2 linked regions of the Coturnix japonica genome follow. The protein of the gene in region 1 purifies or fractionates together with the protein of each later gene. This does not show direct contact. Links are inferred from orthologs where the notes say so. Each region holds a gene or a part of one and is shown on either strand. Other genes may lie near its edges.

Region 1 (4,717 bases):
CTAATCTGCAGTCAGAAAAGCAAGACGTTTAGAAAGAACAACTGGGTTGTACAACATAGAGAAAGCATACAGCTAATTTTAGTGTTTTTTGTTGTTGTTTTAATATTAGGAGTGAAAAAATGTCATGACATATTTAAAGACAAATAGTTTAATAAATTGCTTGTAAGTTAAACATTGCATAACAAGCAAATCAGATCCATGATCAATATGATCAAGGCTCCTGCTTTGGCCTGACTGTAAAGTCACAATGTGACCTTCCACACGTTGCTCTGGGTTAGATCCAATAAAGGACTCAGGCACCTTAAGCCTGACTTAGGCAGATTTGAGGTGCATAAGTCCCACAGTATGACCTAAACACCCTGCTCTGTGACTTATTAACCCCAGAGGAACTTGTCACCCCAAAAAGGAACATGTACTGCTCAGCTCTTTATGCACACGCAGTTTGGTCAGCAAGAGCTTGCTGTGCTAACTTCCATTGGGCTACCACTGTTCTCTCTGGGCTGCATTTATAAGTTTCCTTTCTGTGTAAATGTGGTAAAAAAGACAACTAATGCAGGCTGGGACTTCAGTGTATGCTCAGGATCCATCTGTCCTCCTTTTCTTAAGAGCACAGTGTCACAGCTTCAACAGGAAGGTCACAATAATCTCTCAGCTTAGCTTGAGCAGTAGCCTGGAAATGGCAAAGCTATAACCACGCATGTGTGACCCTTTTTCCCGTCCTTGACTGAGGGGGAAAGCGAGAATGGGAGCATCGGTCCCACTTTCACCTTAGAGAACATGGAAAACATTTGTCTCTTGGAGAGACCTGCACCTACGAGTGAGTTTTAGGTTCTGGATCTGAGGCAAATGTTTCTCACAGCCCCATCACGGTTACCAAAGATGAAAAGACATGGAGTACAGATCCTTAACCTCGCTTTGCCATAATTGCTGCTTGATGCAAAATGGGGATAAAGCTAATAACTGAAATTCAAAGACAGGTGCTGCAAAAGGAATATAAATTATTAGCAGTAGCTGAGCTGAAAAGCTTTGGGTTTTAGATCAACACCACTTTGGAGTCTGAATAGCAACATTAGCTCGACCGCACTGCACTTACTGCACACATTATATACTTGGCTGTCTAAAAACTGCTGAACATAGATAACACATCCAAATTAAAGGTCACCTGGAAAGAACCAGTCATATGCCCTTCTTCTTAATGTTACACGATCCCAAATAGCGTAATCTCTGTGGGTTTTTTTCCTTTTTTCTTCATATGTAAGTTATAAGTTTGGGTTCTCTTTGGTCTGGAAGGGTTATGTAGTGTCTGGAAAGCAACTCAATGATCAGGAACCAAAGGAAGGACAACTAACCATGCTTTGGGCAGAGCCTGGTGACTCAGAGCAGCTGATGCGACTGACTGCTGCTGAGAGGAGCGGATTTTCAGTCTGACTGCACAGAGCCATTCGCTTGCTTTATTTAAAGTTGACTTTTTAGTCACATCTTCAGTTTTACGACAGTGTAGAGTTCCACTTCATTTTAAAGGAAGCATTTAGCATAAAGCCTGAGGTTTTGTTACGTTGAATCATGGAAAGCAATACTCAATTTGTTTGAAGCTACATACAAGTCTTCGGCAAAGCCAAGCGAGTCCCCAGGTATCCCTAAATCTACGATGGACACGAAAGCACTACAGTCGAGAGAAACTTCCGCACATCCCCTCACTTAAACCCCTTCAGCTCGGTTTGTCGGGGCTTTGGAAGCCGAGACGTCTTTCTAACGGCTCCCAGCCCCAGGACCGCCATCCCTCAGCCGCCGGTTCTGCCTGGAGCACGGCTGCAGCTCGCCCCGCCGCACCGGCAGCGGCTGTTTCCCTGTGGTGTAAGGCGGGGTAGGGGTCCCAACGGTCCGTTACCCCCCGGAAGGGAGCGGCCACCGCTCCCCACCACCCTCCTCCCGCTTCCCACAGTTGCGAGAGCTGAGGGGAGGAGGGAGGGGCGCCGCCCCGCGCATGCCCGCCCGCCCCGCGTGACGTGCGCGGCCGGGGCAGCCCGGCCGGGATCAAAGCGGCCGCGGGGCGAGCCGGGCCGGGTGGTGGCAGCGAGGGGAGCGGTGTAGGGCGAGCCCGCCGGATAAAGCCCTGGGCCGGCTCCACGGGGCGGGAGCGCGGCCAGCCCAGCGGGCTGTCGGCGGTGTTGTTTCTCTGCGTCTCCTCCTCGCCTTGAGAGTGAGGCAGCCGCGCTGTGGGGCATGAGGGGCCGCGGGGCACCGCGCCGTAGCGGCGGCGGTCAGCGCACGGCTTAGCCGGGACGGCGAGGAGCGGCGGGGGAACGGGCGCGGCTCCCTGCATGTGGCACGCGAGGAGAGCCGGGCAGCCCGGCGGCAGCAGAGAGCAGCCGGCCGCGCGGACTTGAGTGCCGGGCAGCGGCGAGCGGCCGCCCGTCATGGATTGCAGCCTGCTCCGGACTCTCGTGAGCCGATACGTGAGTACCAACACCCGGCCGCGGAGCTGCCGATCGGGGTGCTCCTTCCGAGCGCGGCATCGCGGGGGTCGGGGCGGCCCTCTGCCGTTAGTGCGAAAGGCTGCAGGCAGCCCGGCCCCCTGCGCGAACGGCTGTCGGGAGACGTCCCGAGTTTCGGTCGCAGTTGTGCTGCTTGTCCCGTTTGGTCCCGGTGTTTCAGTCCGGTTGTGTTTGGCGGAGCTGGCTGGGTTAAGCAGGCGGGCGAGTGCTCGGGTAATCCTGTCTGTCTGTAGACGCGCGCGGTAGGATTCGAGCGCTCCAAACTTGCTTCGGGGACAGAGAGTTGCCCTTATTTGCTGCTCCCTCCCACTCCCAGAGCTAAAGCAAAGCAGTGCTGCGTTAGAGTGGATCTAGGTGTAGAACGAGGTGCGTAAAGAGCAGATCATTGTGATCCAAGGGCTGGGAACGGCCAGCAGGCAGGAGGATGCGGGTTGCTGCTTTTGGGTGTAGGGAAACTTCGAAACAATTGGGAAGTGATGTTGCAAAGAGGCAGCGGGGATTTCCATGCACGCACAGCTCTTCCTCTCGTGCAGGAAATGCTCTAAGCCAAGAAGCTTTCACGCTCTGACCGTACCTGCGTTTGGTCAGAGCGCTGGGTGTGCTGAGCTTTGTTCACGTAATGCACGCTCAGCTTTTTCATTTGCATTTCTCATTTACGGTGAGGCATAATGCTGGATTTTGTTTATTGCTTGTATTATTCTGCGGGATTAGGAGAGAATAGGTGAGTACTGAACTCAGGGACCTGTATAGGGATCCTTAGAAAGTAACCCCGAGGGGAGGAGGAAGTACTGTAGGAATGATGAGGTGTGAGAGAAGTCAGCTGTGTGCATGTGCAGAGCTCAGGTGAGCTGTGCTGGGCTCTGTTTTGAAACAAGATCAGTCTGAGTACACTGACCTGGCACTGCTGATCTTCATACACAGAATCACACACAGAATGACCCGGGTTGGAAGGGACCTCAAGAATCATGTAGTTCCAACCCCCCTGCCTGGCAGGGCCAACAAACATACACATTTTACTAGATCAGGTTGCCCAGGGCCCCGTCCAACCTGGTCTTGAAACACCTCAAGGACGGGGCATCCACAACCTCCCTGGGCAGCCCTGTTCCAGGGCCTAACCACTCTGCTAGTGAAGAACTTCCCCTAACATCCAACCTAAATCTTCCCTCTTAACTTAAAACCATTTCTCCGTGTCCTCTGATTGTTCAACCCTTGCGAAGAAGTTTACTCCCCTCCTGGGTGTAGGTTCCCTTCAGGTATTGAAAGGCTGCAATGAGGTCACCCCACAACCTTCTCTTCTCCAGGCTGAAATGTGGGGTTTAGCTGAAGATTTGTGTTCTCATAGCTGATACCTGTTTAAGTACTCCAAAAAAATCATACCGCATTCATTGTGCATAGAGCAAACTGTGATCTCTAGGTATTCTGCAGAACTTGAGCTCTAACCTCTCTTTCAAACTGAGCATCAAATGTGATTGAAATGAGCTTAAGATTAGCTGTAATTTCTATCTTAAAAGACAAGGATGTATGTAGGAACTTGAACGTGGCACTTGGACTTCGAAGTTGCAGACCATCATCATGCACCTGTATTGCTGCTGAGGGTAATTCAGCAGTCTAAAAGCCTGATGAAACACATAGCCCTTGTGAGGAAAGATTTCCTAGATCACTCTGCTTTCTACATTATGTATATGCCGTCTAGGCTGTGCCTGGAGAACTGCCCGGCTATTCCAAGCTGCCTTGTATATTCTCACCTGTTGCTTGCTCTTTTTTGCACTACTTTTTCTTCAGTCGTCAAGTCAGTTTCTTCATTTTTATTTTATATAGAATGAAAATGAATAGTTTGAATGCTGTGCCTGAAACTGACTGCTGTATCTGAGGAACAGATGGATGTGTCAGCAGTGTTGCTCAACAGTTGTTCACCCGAGCCGTGTACAAAGCAGTTATGGTTCAGAAGTGTGGATGTGTTTACCTTTTTCCAGGCTACTTCTTAATGAGGGAGAGCAAGCAGTAGCATTTTTGCAGGAGACAAAGAGATCCAAGGCCATATGTACTAAAGTAAGCTCGTGCTTGGGATTACAGAATCACAGAATTGTAGGGGTTGGAAGGGACCTCTAGAGATCGAGTCCAACCCCCTGCCAAAGCAGGTTCCCTACACCACGTCACACAGGAAGGTGTCCAGGCGGGTCTTGAATATCTCCAGAGAAGGAGACTCTACCACCTCCCTGGGC
Region 2 (4,058 bases), on another chromosome or scaffold:
GTCTATTTTCTGCTTTATACTGTTGAAGAAGGCCAATGTGGGCCTATTTTTTCTGGTTTGTTTTTAGAATTCATAAGAACTGTTGACAGCACGTTAAGATGTGATATACATTGAGCAATGTCTGGGATACTGAGTGAACAGGAAGCACATCCCAGTGCTGTGATTGCTGCTGTGAATTGTTTAACAGTAATTAAGACCAGACCCAAAGGCACTGCTAGGAATGAGGAACTGAGATGAGGTGTGTGACTGTCGTGTGCGTCTTCAGTGCCGTGTGTGGTTCTAGTTGCCCAATCATCAAAATGATGGGAAACATAATGAAATCTGCAGAGATGGATATAGAGGGATTAAAAAAAAAAAAGAAAAGAAAAGAAAAACAGACTGATTGGATGCCTTTTATTACAGGAAGTGACCAAGGATAGTAATTGCAGGTCCAGAGCAGAGGAGCTGAGGGGAGGCCTGATGGCGGCTGCAGCTCCTCACAGGGAGCAGAGGGGCAGCACTGAGCTCTGCTCTGTGTGACAGCGACAGGGCCCGAAGGAACGGCATGGAGCTGTGAGGGGAGGGGCAGCTGGGGGTGAGGGACAGGGGCTGCACCACAGGGCGGCGGGCATGGAACAGGTTGCCCAAGGCAGTGGGCACAGCCCTGAGCTGTCACAGTTCGTGGGTGCTGTGTGGAGCTAGGAGTTGGACTTGGTGATTCTTATGGGTCTCTCCAGCTCAGGATAGTCTGATTCGTTAGTAGCATCCAGTTGTAACAGCTGTGAAGCCTACAAAGACCACAGGTGGTTTGGAGAATGTGTATGCACAATAGCTGTGTTATTTCTGCACAACAGAAACAAGTGAGCTGAGAAGGACATCAACAAACTGAACGGCCATTGGGCCAGGAGTTACCAGCTCCCTTTGAGTCTGTAGCCTCTTGTTGCTGTTGCTTTCTGAAGCCCTGGTGCTGGATTTCTGCCTTGGCTCCATGCATCAGTTCTTGTGTTCTTGAAGCAGTGGTTTCATTATTTGTCAAGTGATGAAGACATACCTGTATCACTTTCACTCAGTTGTCAATGGAACATAACAAGTAATGTGTTCTTCATGTAAGTGAAATTTTTATATCTTGCTGGTCCCTGTGCTGCAGCTGGACCAAGCCCTGAAGGAGTGCTGAGGCAGAGCTACTTAATAAAGAATCGTAGAATGGCCTGGGTTGAAAAAGACCACAATGACCATCTAGTTTCAACCCCCTGCTATGTGCAGGGTTGCCAACCATCAGACCAGGCTGCCCAGAGCCACATCCAGCCTGGCCTTGAATGCCTCCAGGAATGGGGCATCCACAGCCTCCTTGGGCAACCTGTTCCAGTGTGTCACCACCCTCTGTAAAACCTCCTCCTGATATCCAACCTAAACCTCCTCTGTCTTACTTTAAACTAATTCTCCCTTGTCCTATCACTGTCCACCCTCATAAACAGCCATTTGCCGTCCTGCTTATAAGCTTCTTTCAAATACTGAAAGTCAAATATTTACTTCAGCATAAATGCAGTATCTCATTTAGTGAGAGGCAAAGCTTTCCCTCACCTAACAGCTCTTGAATCCAACTTATTTCAGCTGGGCTTGTCAGAGGAAGGTTTCATCTGTCAGCAGTCTGGCAGCAGATCACAGATCTCTGAAATGCCTTTGCTGAAGAAAGAGCTGCAGCTCTTAACAGATATCAAAGAATCTATGGGAGGGAGACCTTGAAGAAGATCCAGAAGGAAATAGGCTTCAATTGTTCCTTGAACCTTGAAACCGCTTGTTTAATTTACCCTTAATGTGGATTTTTGGGCAGATTACTGAGAATCAGAATGATTTATAGTGTTTGACCACAGCTGTAAATCAGAAGATACCATTGCAGCAGTCTTTCATAAAGCTGAGCAGGATTTGTAGCTCAGAGCACTTTGTTTTGGTAACTTGTCGCGTGTTGCCCTGATCTGAGTTCTGTTACTAAGTAGGAAGCTCCTTTTAAGTGCAGAAATAATAGTTCATAAACAGATGGAATCTTTCTCCTACACACGGAGCTAACCTGCCGAACCCAAAGCAGTTATTTCCTTCCGCTTGTATCCTGCAGCTACGCAGGAGAGAGTCAATCAAGTGACTTCTGTTGGCAAGGGCTATAGGATGAGAGCCCCAGGTGCTCAGGATACATTGTGTAACATAAAGGTGGCCCAAATGTGCAGATTTCAGGTAAATTTTTTTGTTCTTGTTGCTGAACTATTAAAGACAGATCCTTGATAAGCTACGTTAATAGTGATCGTATTTTCTTTTTCATCTGGTATTTTACTGTTTTTGGCATTTGTGTCTTCACCTTCCCTGTTTTAGGAGAGCTCTTGAGTGCCCAGGGAGGCTGTGGATGCCCCGTCCTTGGAGGTGTTCAAGGCCAGGTTGGACGGGGCCCTGGGCAACCTGATCTAGTAAATGTGTATGTTTGGTGGCCCTGCCAGGCAGGGGGGTTGGAACTACATGATCCTTGAGGTCCCTTCCAACCCGGCTCATTCTGTGATTCTGTGATTCATTAAGCGGTCTTTGAAAAATCTGATGGAGTGCCTAAATATAGGCAGTAAATAAAAGTTTTCTTAAGCAAAACTTTTTTCTTATTTAATATCTTTGTAGGCTTTTAAAAATGAGACTTCTCTGGAAAGCATGTAGCAGGTTAGATCTGCTTGTTATATACTGAGCGTGTTTGGTGGTGCCATGAGTATCTGCTCAGTGTGTTTTGGTGGGTTGTTTTGTTTGTTTCTTTCTCTTCTTTCCCAGCATTAATGGCCCACACTGGTGCCAGATTTGTCTGAGGCTGGAACAGAATATGCAGTCAGAATCACAAAATAGTTTGGGTTAGAAGGGATCATGAGATCATCAAACAGAGCTTTTGGAACTGAGATGTAGTAATACTGCAAAATAAATGCCACACCGATTTCTCTTGCTTATTAATCAATTTTATTTGCTTTCTCACTCTAAACTAATGTGGATTTTTTTTTTTTTTTTTTTCTGTTATAGATTGATTATACAGGAATAGAGCCTTCCAGTCCTTGCAACAAGTGTTTAAATGTGTCCTGGGATAGCACACCGCCTTGTACCTGCACAATCAATTTCACACTGGAACATTCATTTGAGGTACATAACCTTGCATGCAAAGTGAAATGAGATCTGCTGATGTGGTTTATTTTGTAAGTGATAGGAAAATTGCATTCTCACAGCCTTACTTTGTGTCTGCCTTGAAGGATTATTTCTAGTATTCCTATGAACTTGGATTTGATGGCTGTGTGTCTTTTCATTAGCAGAGATGAGATGGTTTTTAGTGCCTCTCTATCTGGAATTGCAGTGTTAAGTGGGACACGTGTCTTTTACACATCTGGATTTACTGTCTGTGTCCTAGGTGGGCGTCATATACTTGACATGTAGATAAGCTATTCCTGCACAACTTAAACTGAGTTCAGCAGGAAGCAGCAGCACTAGATGCATTCTTTGAGGCAAATAATGAGGCTTATGTGCTTGGTGTTGGACAAGGTAAGTATTGGGATAGTACTGATGAATATCCTGCTGCTGGTTTATGGCATGTTGATATTGTTTGACTTCAGGATGCCAGCTTTTGTTGGGATAGTATTGTGTGTATTCAGTACAAAGAGAGTCTTTGAGCATCACTACTGTGAGTGTTACTATAAAGTAAATACAATTTAAGAGGTTGGATTTCCAGGTTTCAGTTAACCAGCATGTTTGTGTGTTTTATTGACCTGTTGTGTAAATCAAAACCCTTCTTGTAGAGTAACGTCTTCATGTATTACGGACTTTCTAACTTCTATCAAAACCACCGTCGCTATGTGAAATCTCGAGATGACAGCCAACTCAACGGAGACAACAGCTCATTACTTGTAGGTATTCGAGCTTTGATATTTACAGATACTAGTAGGCAATGAACAGCTGACTTGCATAAGTTATCACAGGGCAGAATAACTAGTTTAATAATAACGTAGCTGTAGAATTTTTGTATTCAACAAACAATAAGGTATTCATATTTTTTATTAAAAATAATAAACGTTCTT

The links. The genes of interacting proteins can lie anywhere in the genome.
Region 2: the proteins of ATP11A (region 1) and TMEM30A purify together in Homo sapiens (co-immunoprecipitation; 4 studies listed by BioGRID and IntAct, with this or other methods). This does not show direct contact. The link is inferred for Coturnix japonica from reciprocal best matches to the Homo sapiens genes ATP11A and TMEM30A.

Annotation. Positions count from the first base shown.
Region 1 is NC_029516.1:124,204,165-124,208,881, reverse strand, and holds the start of ATP11A (probable phospholipid-transporting ATPase IH), read left to right. Parts: upstream 1-1,790; 5' UTR 1,791-2,417; coding exon 2,418-2,456; intron 2,457-4,717. UniProt on the Homo sapiens protein: Catalytic component of a P4-ATPase flippase complex which catalyzes the hydrolysis of ATP coupled to the transport of aminophospholipids, phosphatidylserines (PS) and phosphatidylethanolamines (PE), from the outer to the inner leaflet of the plasma membrane.
Region 2 is NC_029518.1:73,683,509-73,687,566, forward strand, and holds part of TMEM30A (cell cycle control protein 50A), read left to right. Parts: intron 1-3,015; coding exon 3,016-3,132; intron 3,133-3,779; coding exon 3,780-3,887; intron 3,888-4,058. UniProt on the Homo sapiens protein: Accessory component of a P4-ATPase flippase complex which catalyzes the hydrolysis of ATP coupled to the transport of aminophospholipids from the outer to the inner leaflet of various membranes and ensures the maintenance of asymmetric distribution of phospholipids.